3 linked regions of the Drosophila melanogaster genome follow. Changing the gene in region 1 together with any one later gene gives a genetic interaction. Each region holds a gene or a part of one and is shown in the gene's direction. Other genes may lie near its edges.

What was found.
Region 2: of faf (region 1) and pbl, changing one enhances a phenotype caused by changing the other (phenotypic enhancement), as found in Drosophila melanogaster (one study listed by BioGRID).
Region 3: of faf (region 1) and Prosbeta6, changing one suppresses a phenotype caused by changing the other (phenotypic suppression), as found in Drosophila melanogaster (one study listed by BioGRID).

Annotation. Positions count from the first base shown.
Region 1 is NT_033777.3:31,775,005-31,778,833, forward strand, and holds the start of faf (fat facets), read left to right. Parts: upstream 1-2,015; 5' UTR 2,016-2,178; intron 2,179-2,238; exon of another isoform or gene 2,239-2,560; intron 2,561-2,633; exon of another isoform or gene 2,634-2,747; intron 2,748-3,167; 5' UTR 3,168-3,461; coding exon 3,462-3,754; intron 3,755-3,829. Other genes in the region: CG2126 (uncharacterized protein), read right to left, coding at 347-498, 555-689, 744-916, 980-1,192, 1,245-1,378, 1,441-1,548. UniProt on the Drosophila melanogaster protein: Ubiquitin C-terminal hydrolase involved in development and the imd/NF-kappa-B (IMD) signaling cascade. Required for eye and embryo development, and plays a role in compound eye assembly and oogenesis respectively.
Region 2 is NT_037436.4:7,910,040-7,913,639, reverse strand, and holds the start of pbl (pebble), read left to right. Parts: upstream 1-1,685; 5' UTR 1,686-2,181; coding exon 2,182-2,218; intron 2,219-3,600. Other genes in the region: CG8281 (uncharacterized protein), read right to left, coding at 1-1,033.
Region 3 is NT_037436.4:16,608,734-16,612,481, reverse strand, and holds Prosbeta6 (proteasome beta6 subunit), read left to right. Parts: upstream 1-2,063; 5' UTR 2,064-2,163; coding exon 2,164-2,252; intron 2,253-2,327; coding exon 2,328-2,946; 3' UTR 2,947-3,082; downstream 3,083-3,748. Other genes in the region: Su(P) (suppressor of ref(2)P sterility), read left to right, coding at 365-1,119, 1,184-1,590, 1,653-1,744; CG4098 (uncharacterized protein), read left to right, coding at 3,275-3,748. UniProt on the Drosophila melanogaster protein: Non-catalytic component of the proteasome, a multicatalytic proteinase complex which is characterized by its ability to cleave peptides with Arg, Phe, Tyr, Leu, and Glu adjacent to the leaving group at neutral or slightly basic pH.

The DNA of each region.
Region 1 (3,829 bases):
CCAAATCCAATATGTAGCAATACGTATTGTGTAAAAACTATTTTAGAGATGGGAAACTGATGATTTGTATTTAATATTACTATATGTGTATAATTAATGTGAAATATAATTAAAACGAAAAGAACGAAGAATGAATTAAGCTTGTGCGACGAAAACACTAAATAGACCTGCTCCTAAATTTGTTTCTCAACGGCTTTTAGAGCCGCAATTATACTCGGAACAGGTCTGAGTCTGAGCTACATACTAAATGTAAATAAATTAATTGACGCGTACACTACACATAGATAACAACAGTCGATCGACGAGTTCCCCGGGCGTGAAAAATTTGCATCTGGACGTCGCCGCATCAAATTCTCGACTCCAGCTCCCGGAACTCGGCAGGATCCGTGAAACGTACGGTCAAAATATAGAACAGTGTGGGGAAGGGCACCAAGCACATAAAGGCATAGTGGTAATTCAGGGAGGTGAGGCCGTAGGCCAACAACATCCAGTGCACAGCTGGGAAAGTAAGCTGCTGGTATACTTTATGTATGGTGAATGCGCACTTTGCTTACCTATGATGACCACGTTTTTTAACTCCCACACCGACGAGTGAACCAATGCCTTTAGGGTTTGATCCAGTTTGAGGGAATAGTGGATGGCATTGGCTACCATGGATATGGCCACGCTAAGGTACGGAAAGGAGTAATCTGAAAAAGAAAAGATCTCAAGACCAAAATATTAGCAAGCACTTAAGTACTCACAGATCAACCCACATCCTAACGCATGGATAAAGGTGAGCAGGGGCAGGAAGTAAAGAGCCGAGTAAATCGGCGCCTTGCTTCTGCCCCCCACATCCATAATTTTGCTGACTAGCGGGCGTATGAGAAACATGTTCACCAGGCACAGAAAGTAGAAAACCAGCACGATGGTTTGCCTGGAAATTGAACATTAAAGTGACTATTGTGAACACCTGGAGCCTTGGGTGGCTGGGTCTTACAATGGGTAAACTGCCTCCTGGGTGCAGTAGACTCGTGCCTCATAATTGGGGCTGGGGTTGTAAAACAATGTGTACCAGTCAGTAAGTTTTCGAACATCACAGGCGTAGAGGCGCAGCTCCCACATGGGCTCCATTAGCAAGGTGGCGAGGATGGCAGATATGGCAACCTCAACGAAAGCGCTGGCCGTCAAGATCAGCTGCTTCCGCGAAAACCTATGTGAATTCACTAAGTAAGTTCTTCTTCCAGTTTGATTAGTTCACTCACTTGCGATCCTTGGCGTCCATGTCAATGAAAAAGCAGTGCATCATAAGTGGCAGCATGGTCATGAATCCCAGGTATAGCCAGGAGTACGTGCTTAACTCGTCGCGGCATGGAGAGCATGCGTAACTTTGGTTCACCTGAACAATATAAAAGTAAATTATTTTCCAGGCGCCGTTCCGAAGGATGCTAGAACATTAACCCGAGATCCTCTGGGACAGACCCCGCAGCTGCTCCAGCTGTTGTTTCCTAGCGGTGATCGCCCACAGTAGGCTCCTGGGCAGCGTTCCAACGCGTCGTACATTCTCATGAAATCAAAACAATTACTTCGTATTGTATATTACATTAAACAAAATAAAAACAATACTCCTATCGATATCGGACTTATCGTTATCAGTAGGACCACTGAATAAACGAATAGGTTGTTCGTGCACTTAAATTAATACTAATTTATAAAATGATAATACATCAGAAGCACATGCGAAATGTATTAAAAATAAGGAAATTATTTTCTACAGATTATATAATGGGCCCTAAGACTGCTTTCTAATTTGATCAAATTAATAATACTATATGTTTTTATATATTTATTTACAATTAAACATGACTAGTAGAGTGTACATTCTTACAGTGCATTTCAATGATTTGATTTTATTTGAAATCCCAATTGCCAGAAATTTAAATTTAGGGTCCCTTATATGTACCACATAAACCAGTTCGATAGGCGCGCTTTTGGCATGGCCTGATAACTCTGGTAAAAAGCACCGCGCGAACCGGTTCAATTCATAACTAGTTCGCCCGAACTGCACAACCCTAGCAAAAGAAATAGCTTAAATATAATTTATTTAACGCGAATTGGACAACGAGCGGGTAGAAAAAACCCTGTGGCCGCAACCGCGACGCTCGCAGGATACGCAGCTCTTCGCCGTCGGGCAGGCAGGTAAAAAGCAATGGCAATTGGAGTTGACCGCAGAACAACAGCAACGGCAGACGCCATTTTGTCTATTGGCCGGCTGATTTGTAAGCTCAATATTCGCGAAATAGTTACCGCGACTAGCTTCGAGTGGCGCAGCCAAGTAAGGGCTCCCCGCTGTCCAGAGCAAAGGCGAAAGGAAGAGCAATCGCCCATTTTGAGGCCTGCGAAAAGTTGGGACTCGGTCGTCAGTTCGCTCGATTCCATTTGCGAAAAATAAATGTACGTGCGCGTGAGGAAGTGTGTGTGCGCGTGAAAAAACAGTGAAAAATAATAAAAAGCCGCACTGGCCGCCGTCCTTGGGTGACTTCCGTTAATCTCTTACAACTTTTAAAGCTATAGAAAGAATGTGAGCAATTTACCGCCCTCGACACACCCAATGAACCGCTAATTTTGGCATCTTTCTATAACTTTATGCGTAGTTATTTTCACCACCCTTCGCCTACACCCTTTCCCCGCCCCTTTTTCCACCAGTGGCTCCCACCCACCGACCGACATTCCGCTTAAGGATGATGCCGGGCGGAGAGAGATAGAGAGTGAGTGCAAAATCCGTAAACTTGGACGTGATGTAATTTTCGGCAGGAAAATGTTCTTTGTTTGCCCAAAAAAATAACAATAAATAAATAAGAATGAAGAGCGAGGCGTAAAACAAAAACAATTTTAAATTAAACTCAAACGCACACACAAAAAGAGAGGGTTCTGTGGGTGAGCGTGCGTGCGTGTGAGTGGGTGAGAGCGTAATTTGTGTGCTTTTGGAGCATTATTTGGCGCTTGCTGCCCCGTCTATTAAATAATATTGATTTTTCATATTCCAACCCAGCGCTCTCTTACACACACGCAGGACCACTCACACACCCAAAACTGAGCTTCGTACACATGTGGGCCTTTTCGGTCTCTCTCTTAGCGCTGTATTTATCCGCCTCTTATTGCCTCTTTCGCTTCGTTGCACTTTATAGATTTTTGCAAACTGGCCGCTGACCAGGCATTGGGAAAAAGGACAATAAGAGGGAGCCCAGAGCAAGAAGTCCAACTAACCGACCAACTGTGCCTCAAGAAACAGCAAATCAGCGGGGAACTCCCAAACTGGACAAGCAGAAGCCCGGATACCTCACATTTGCCATAAGACACCAGTCAAAAAACGACGCGCACTGCAGAACGCATTAGGATTAGCCCGGCACTAGAGCTCGTGCATTAACATCCGCTTCCGGTGCTCCGCAGAACGAGTTGGCTGGAGAGGATACCCCGCCACCATGACGTTCGACACTCGTAGGCACACCACCGGACAGCCGGGAAGCACAGCGCCCAGCTCAAGCAGCAGCACCACCAGCACAACAACCACCACAACGAGTCCGGCGCAGAGTGCCGGATCAGGATCGGGCATAGGAACAGGCACAGGAACAGTCGCCAACTCGAGTCTGCCAGGAGGAGGATCAGGTAGCTTGGACGGCAACCAGGATCAACAGCCGGCCACAGACAGTCAGAGCTCTGATGACGTGGCCGCTTCCTTGTCAGCGAACAGCGTGGACAGCACCATCACAATAGTGTAAGTGGTCGTGCTGCCGTATTTGCATGACTCCGCCCAATTAGTCGGGTTTTGTGCGTAGCACCAGTATGACCG
Region 2 (3,600 bases), on another chromosome or scaffold:
TGCCCGCACTGGTGGTGGTGCTGCCCGGTGGCCCACCTCCTCCCCCGCTTCCGCTCGCTCCCGACACATTGGGCTTGGATTCGCTGGAGGTGTGCACACTGGGGCTCTGTGATTTGTCCTGCTCCTCGTGACCATTTGGCGTTTCTTCGTAGCGAACGTAGGGTTCGAAGCTGTTGTTGATTTGCACAGATCCGCGATGCAGATTGTTGGACTCGGCCTCGAAGAGAATCTCGTTGATGAAACGTTCGGCCAGAAGACGCTGCTCGCGCGGCAGTCGCTTCAGTTTGTGCGTCCAGGTGCGGGCGATGGACTCCTCCTCCGGATATGTGCCAGCCAAATACTCGCAGGCTATGTTGAGTAGTTCGTCGGTGTTGTGGGCGGTGCCTGTTGCCCCAGGACCGCCAGTAGATCCGGCTCCTGCTCCCGTACATGGCGGCGTTTGCCTGGCTCGCTTGCTGCTCCCATAATCCACATGGTTGGTTGCTGGCGGTGGCGGTGGCGGAGCTCCAAATGATTTGTGAAACATCTCGGAAATGTTGGGCGTCTGACCACCAGCGCGTGGTGCTGGATAATGGAGGGCTGCTCCCTGGCTCTCCAGAAACGCACTCGGGCAATTGCTGCTCTCACCGAAGGCGAAGTTGGGCTCGTTCTTAAAGGCGGGATTGACGGCTAGAAACTTCTCCGAGTTGCGCAGAAAGTCCAGCTCCTGAAAGGTCCAGCAGCGTGGACTGTGGAGGCTGCCCGATCGCAGGGCACTCTCCACCACCTTCAGCTCCTTGCGGTAGTTCGTGCGCAGTGTGTTGATCTTCTTTTTCACATCCTCCACGGTGGCGTCCCGCTTGAGATAATGGTATATGGGCACCAGGCGCAAATAGGCCTCCGCCCGCTTCTCCCGATTGGTGTAGTCCCGCAGCGATGTGTCCCACAGCACGGGCAGATCCCTGTATGTCTGGATGAAGGCGCGCAGATAGTGTCGGTTCTCCTCCGCTCCCGACATCACCTTCAATCCGTGCGGCGGCGTTTGTGGCAGCATTTTGCGCGGATCTCTGGATTACCCTCTGCCAATCCACGCCAGCTGCAGTCCTTGGCTATCTTCACCACTTCAGCGAATCCTGGATGGACCTATTGACCAACTGTCAATGCGAACGAACTGTGTTTGTTGTAATTGCGCGTTTGACAGATTGTTTGCCATATTGACGTAATGGTTGTGTGCGAGTGTGCGTGAGCGTGAAGATACAGCAACAAGTGCGGACGTAGTGGCAATGCTTGTCACTGGTATCGATACTTCGCCAGCAGTATTTATCGGTCAACTCGTTGTTATCAAGCGCGTATATTTAAACAAAGTAGCACAAAAGCAAGTAGTTTTAGGCATTCATTTATTAAATATATGAGCAAGCATACATAAAATTAACTGTAGCTTATATAGCTTGCATGAAAAATATGATTGGAGGCTACAACTGCAACAATAGTAGGATATTACCAAATTTAATTTATCGACAGGCCAAAAACAACTTAAACGAAGAAAACAGTTCTAATTGATTGTTAATATAGTGCAGCTTACAACTATTTTATAGCCATAGTCGTTTAATTTAGTTATATAGCATTACAGGGAATACCTTCAACCCCTTGCAAGTGTGACCATTATTTAGCGCCGATTGATTCTGGTATTTCGTTCATCACATTTGCGCGTATTTCTTGGCGCCCCCGCGACGGTTACACTGCGCGGCACACTACAGCGAAAAAAATTCGAAACAGACGCGTTTGTCCGTTGAGTTTTGATTTGTGATTCCGACGCGCAGCCGTTGAGCGCAATTCGCTTACATTGTTGATCATTTTGTTGGTTAAATTGCTAAAGCAGGTACGCGGTATCGCTAACAAGAGGACGAAGAACCGGGCGACGCTGCCTATGCGCGTCTGTGTGTGTGTGTTTTCGTGAGCCGCCGCTTTTTAATTAAATAATAAATAAATTGTAACAAAAAGTAGAAAAACAAACAAACATGGAAATGATGCGCGCTAAATGCATGAAAACAGCGTCCAGTTAATGAAAGTAAACGAATCGAGTACAAACGAATTATTTGTCTCCTTGTGCGTTCGTTCTATTGTGTTTCGAGTTCTGTTGGTGTGTGTTTTTGTGTATGTTCCACGAGTTGTTCGCCTTAAAAAAGTAACTGCAGAAGATCCATGGAAATGGAGACCATTGAAGAGCAATCGAAGTGCGGTGAGTACTGAAAGAGGGCGCGGGGCGTGGCAGCTCCAAATGGCCGGCGAATTTATCATTTTTCAATGTCGCCCAAAGGGGTTGGGTACGGGGTAAAACCACATTCGGGGCCAAAAGATCCTCATAAAAAATGTCGCTGCCAGCAAATGCAAAAAAATAAAATGAAATAACAACGACTATAAGTACATCTTTGTGTGTATTTGTGTGACTAAAAAAGCAACGGCATCGTGTCGCAGATATTTTAATCTTTTTTTCTGAATTTATTTCGGTGTAGAAAATATTTATCGCATAAATGCGAAATGCCTCCCTCTCTTCATCATCGTTTCCCCTCACTCTCCCTCTCTTCGGCGACACTGTACCGACAGCAAGAACAACAACAACAACTGAGGCGCCCTAACTGTTGTGAGAGTAAAAAGAAAGGACAAGCAACAACAATTTAAGCGATCAGTTCCTGTTATCATTGATGCGAATTCAGCCGTTTTTAGCCATGGAGTTGTAGCTATAAAAGAAAGTAAACAAGAAACTATCGAATCTTAAAAAAGTAAACAATTAACAAAAGATAGATTTAGGTATTGATGGGAAAGAGAAATCTCTGCTATAAAGTTTTTATTATATTTTTAACATTTTTATTTAACTAAAAACAAAATTGTTTCTAGGCAATTAAAATTGTTATACTTTCCATAAGCCTACGATTTCCGCAACGAGAACGTGTAACTGCAAATACCACACAATTTCAAAGGTTATTGCCTTAAAAAATACGTGTAAATATGTTGTACGGCAGGAATTTTTCCAGCGCGCGGCATAAACAAATAAAATTATCATTTAATGTATTTTGTGTCCGAATTTGAGGCGCAAATAAAGCATATATCAATTAAAAGTTTATAATTTGGTTAGGTTATAAAATCAATTCTCCTTTGATGTTATTTAGCCTTTAAATGTGCATATGTATGTAGATACTTTTGAAATCAACTCTACATGATATCTTTGTGTACTTATTCTGTCTGCTCCGCTCTAATACTTGCCGCCAGGTAAGAAGAAGAATTTATCCTGCTCGACAGGCTCTTCGCTCCTTCTACTTCCTCCTCTTGTTGCACAGAATCCTTGATCCTTGCTTTCCGGGTGGTTTACCTACCCCGCTGGCCGATTACCTCGTATTCCATTTACACATGTTGACAGGGCGCACATGCCCATACAACTATGACTATATAGCCTGTAGTCCGTGTTTTCCGTCCCTCAATGCTAATGGCATTTTACATGGCCCGCAGACCTTCGGAATCTGCTCTTCGCCTACGTCAAGGCTTCCGCGGGATACGTACGTAATTTTATTACAAGATTTTTCTTTGATGACTCTGCTCTGCTATTTGACAAAATCCGCTACACAG
Region 3 (3,748 bases), on another chromosome or scaffold:
TGGTACCCTGAACCAACAGTTCAGGTGGAAACTATCGATAACTTTTTTAGGTCAAAGTTTTAAGGTTGTTAGCTCATTAACGGCAAGTATTTAAAGGCTTGCACAAAATCTTCGCTTGATTTTATTTAAATTCAATTACCTGGATTATTAAATACATTTTATAAAGTTTAACACTAGTGAAATAAATATCCCATCCCCAACACATTCTTCAGGGTTACCGTTTAAGGTATGTTCAAAACTTTATGGTATATTCCGGAGCCCTACAAAAGTCTTGGTATTTTTTCACACTGGTCTCATAGTCGCGGCTGATAAGTCGCTAATTTTTGCATAATATTAAGTATAAGTCAAAACAAACGTGCGAATTATGTCATGTATTCGGCTAGCGTCTGCCACCGTTCTGGCAGGGGTCCGTCCCCCGCCGGCAGCAAGCGGAGGTGGAGCCTTGCGCCTGTTGACTAAACGGAATCCGGATGCTGCATTCGCACGCCGCCAGTTTGCTGTAGCGGTTGAAAACGGCGGAGGCAGAAAGAAGCCGAATGGAACTTTCAAGCTCGCAGTTTTGGGGGCCACCGTAGGCGCGGCCACCGGATCGGTGTATACGATGTACCAGCGGTGGACAGACGGCAGCTCGCACAAAGAGCACGAGGAGACGAAGCCGACGCGGCTGGACGGGATTCCGGCTGGAGTGCGGATAACCAAGCGCTATGTCAACCCCAAGGACACGTCCGGTTTGGACATTGTGCTGTTCCAGTTCCAGACGTGTCCCTTCTGTTGCAAGGTGCGCGCTTTCCTCGACTACATGGGCATATCCTATGCGGTGGTCGAAGTGGATGCCGTCCTACGGCAGGACATCCGCTGGTCGTCGGTGAAGAAGGTGCCGATGGTGCTCATCCGACAGCAGGACGGCAAATACGTCCAGATGGTGGACTCAAGTGCCATCATATCCCTTATAGCCACCCACCTGCAGGACAAGCGCACCGACATCGGCGAGCTGGCACAGTTCTATCCGCACACCTCCTTCTTCGACGATGATGGCAAAAAGAAGAACGACATATTGAATAAATACTTCCTCATGTACCGCGAGCATACGCCCAAGGGAGTATCCAAGGAAACGGATGAGTAAGTTAACCAGGGTCAAGTAATCTTTTAATCAAATCTTTTAACCTTGAGTGTCTGTTCTTAGAACCGATCGCAAGTGGAGAAGCTGGGCCGACAGCCACTTGGTGCATCTAATATCGCCCAACTGTTATCAGACCATGGGCGAGTCCCTAGAGACTTTTGAGTGGTTCTCGCAAGCTGGCGAGTGGGACGTTCACTTCCCCAAATGGGAGCGCGACCTGATGGTTTACTGTGGTGCCACCGCCATGTGGGCCATAGCCAAGATGCTGAAGCGCCGTCACGCCCTCAGCGACGACGTCAGGTCGCACATGTACGATGCCCTTGACCAGTGGACCACTGAGCTGAAAAAGAGGAACACGAAATTCATGGGCGGAAAACAGCCAAGTCTGGCTGATCTATCGGTTTTCGGCGTGCTTTCAAGCATGGAGGGGTGTCAGACGTTCAAGGATTGTCTGCAAAACACCAGCATCGGTAAATAAGGTTTCTTTCTCGGGTTTTGTACCTTTTTACGAACTTTTTACATATTTCCGCAGGTAAATGGTTTTATGACGTCAAGGCGTTGGTGGAGAAGAATCGTGGGCAGTTGCAAAGAGAACGTATTGAAAACATGGCCGCTATAGCTTAAAACAAATATTTGCCCTTATTTTATCCAAAGATTGTTGAAAATAACCGAAATGTTCATTAAAATATACATTTTAATCAAATCTAGTTTGCCGTTTCGTTTATGGTATCTGAATGTATATATTTGGTCAAAAACGCGTAAGGAGTGCAAGTTTATGGTACAAATTGGAATTAATTTTAGGTTTTATATTGTTATTTTATTTATATGTTAAATTAAAAATGTTTACTAAATAAATACCTCCTGCTAATAAAAATATCCCAAACCGACGTATGTATACCTATCGATAACGTTTAAGCAGGCTGGATCCGATGCTCAACAACGGTCACATTGATTTTGTGATTTTGGTTAGCCGCTTGCAAACTTGCAAATCATTTCGTTGGTTTTTTACTTGGCGAGTTAATTGGTGAATTTCAGCACAAAACATGAGCAGATTGGGCTTTGAGCAATTCCCGGACTACCAGGTGCCCGGCATGAAGCATCCTGATTTCTCGCCCTACGAGTCCAATGGCGGGTGAGTTGCTATTTCCCAGCGGAATCGAGATGTGGAAGAATGTCTCCATCTAACCGGAGTCTTCCCTGTTTACAGCTCCATTGTGGCCATCGCCGGAGATGACTTTGCCGTAATTGCAGCGGACACCCGCCTGAGCAGCGGCTACAACATTCACTCGCGAACGCAGAGTAAACTCTTTAAACTCTCGCCCCAGACAGTGTTGGGTTCCGCAGGCTGCTGGGCGGACACGCTCTCGTTGACCGGATCGATTAAGGTGCGCATGCAGAGCTACGAGCATACCCATCTGCGCACCATGACCACTGAGGCCGTGGCCCAGATGCTCTCCATCGCCATGTACAATCGCCGCTTCTTCCCGTACTACGTGTCGAACATTCTGGCTGGAATTGACAACGAGGGCAAGGGCGTCGTCTACTCCTACGATCCCATCGGTCACTGCGAGAAGGCTACATACCGCGCCGGCGGCACTGCCGGCACCCTGCTGCAACCGGTGCTGGACAACCAGATTGGTCACAAGAACATGAATTTGGAAGACGCCGACAAGATCAAGTTAACCAAGGAGCGGGCCGTGAGCGTTGCCTCCGACACCTTCATCTCTGCCGCTGAGCGCGACATCTACACCGGCGACTCTGTGCTGATCAACATCATAACCAAAGATGGAATTGAAGTACGAACTCTGACGCTGCGTCAGGACTAGCCTGTGGCGAGGATGTTGCCGTTTCTTTTGGTTAGGGGCATTCGGTGGAAACCAGGCATTCTAAGTTAGTTGGCTTCAAATTTTTGTATTTACCCAAAACAACAAAACATCGTAATAAACCGAATCTTTGAGATTTAAAATATGCGGCCTAGTGTGACCAGCTGGTCCTAGAAATAAATCGTTCCCAAGCAGTGCTCACAGAAGAGGCTGTGCGAATAGTACAGCTTTCCCCGTACCAACAAATCCATTTTGCTAGCTAAGTTTGTGCCCGCTGGTGTGCGTTAACAAAATCATTTCTTAGTGTTCGTCTCTCAGAGAATTCAGTCCAATGACGAGTTTCGAGTTTGCACTGCTGCCGCTTCTGTTTTTGCCACTGATCCTGGAAAACCCGCTAACCTCCGCCCAAATGATGTCATCGCTGGTGAAGCCGGGCATTTTCCGGCACCTAATGTGCCGCAACAACATGTATCCGCGCAGCTCAGTCCTCCGGTACCCAGTTTCCGACGAACAGGTCTTCTGGTCGGAGCCGTTCCCGGACTACTGCCCGCCTGCGTACACGGCGCCACATATTGGCGGGCAGGTGTGGGCTGATCCGCCGTTGCCCAGCGACACATTCTGGCCACAGTGGAATCAGCTGGATGGACAGGTAAACCGCGAATCCTTTCACGGTGCCTACAACGTGCAGAATGGACTGCCCCTAAATCCGATCGGGCGTACCGGACTAACCGGACGTGGTTCGCTAGGCAGATGGGGTCCAAATCATGCCGCAGATCCAATCGTCACGCGCTGGAAGCGTGACGAC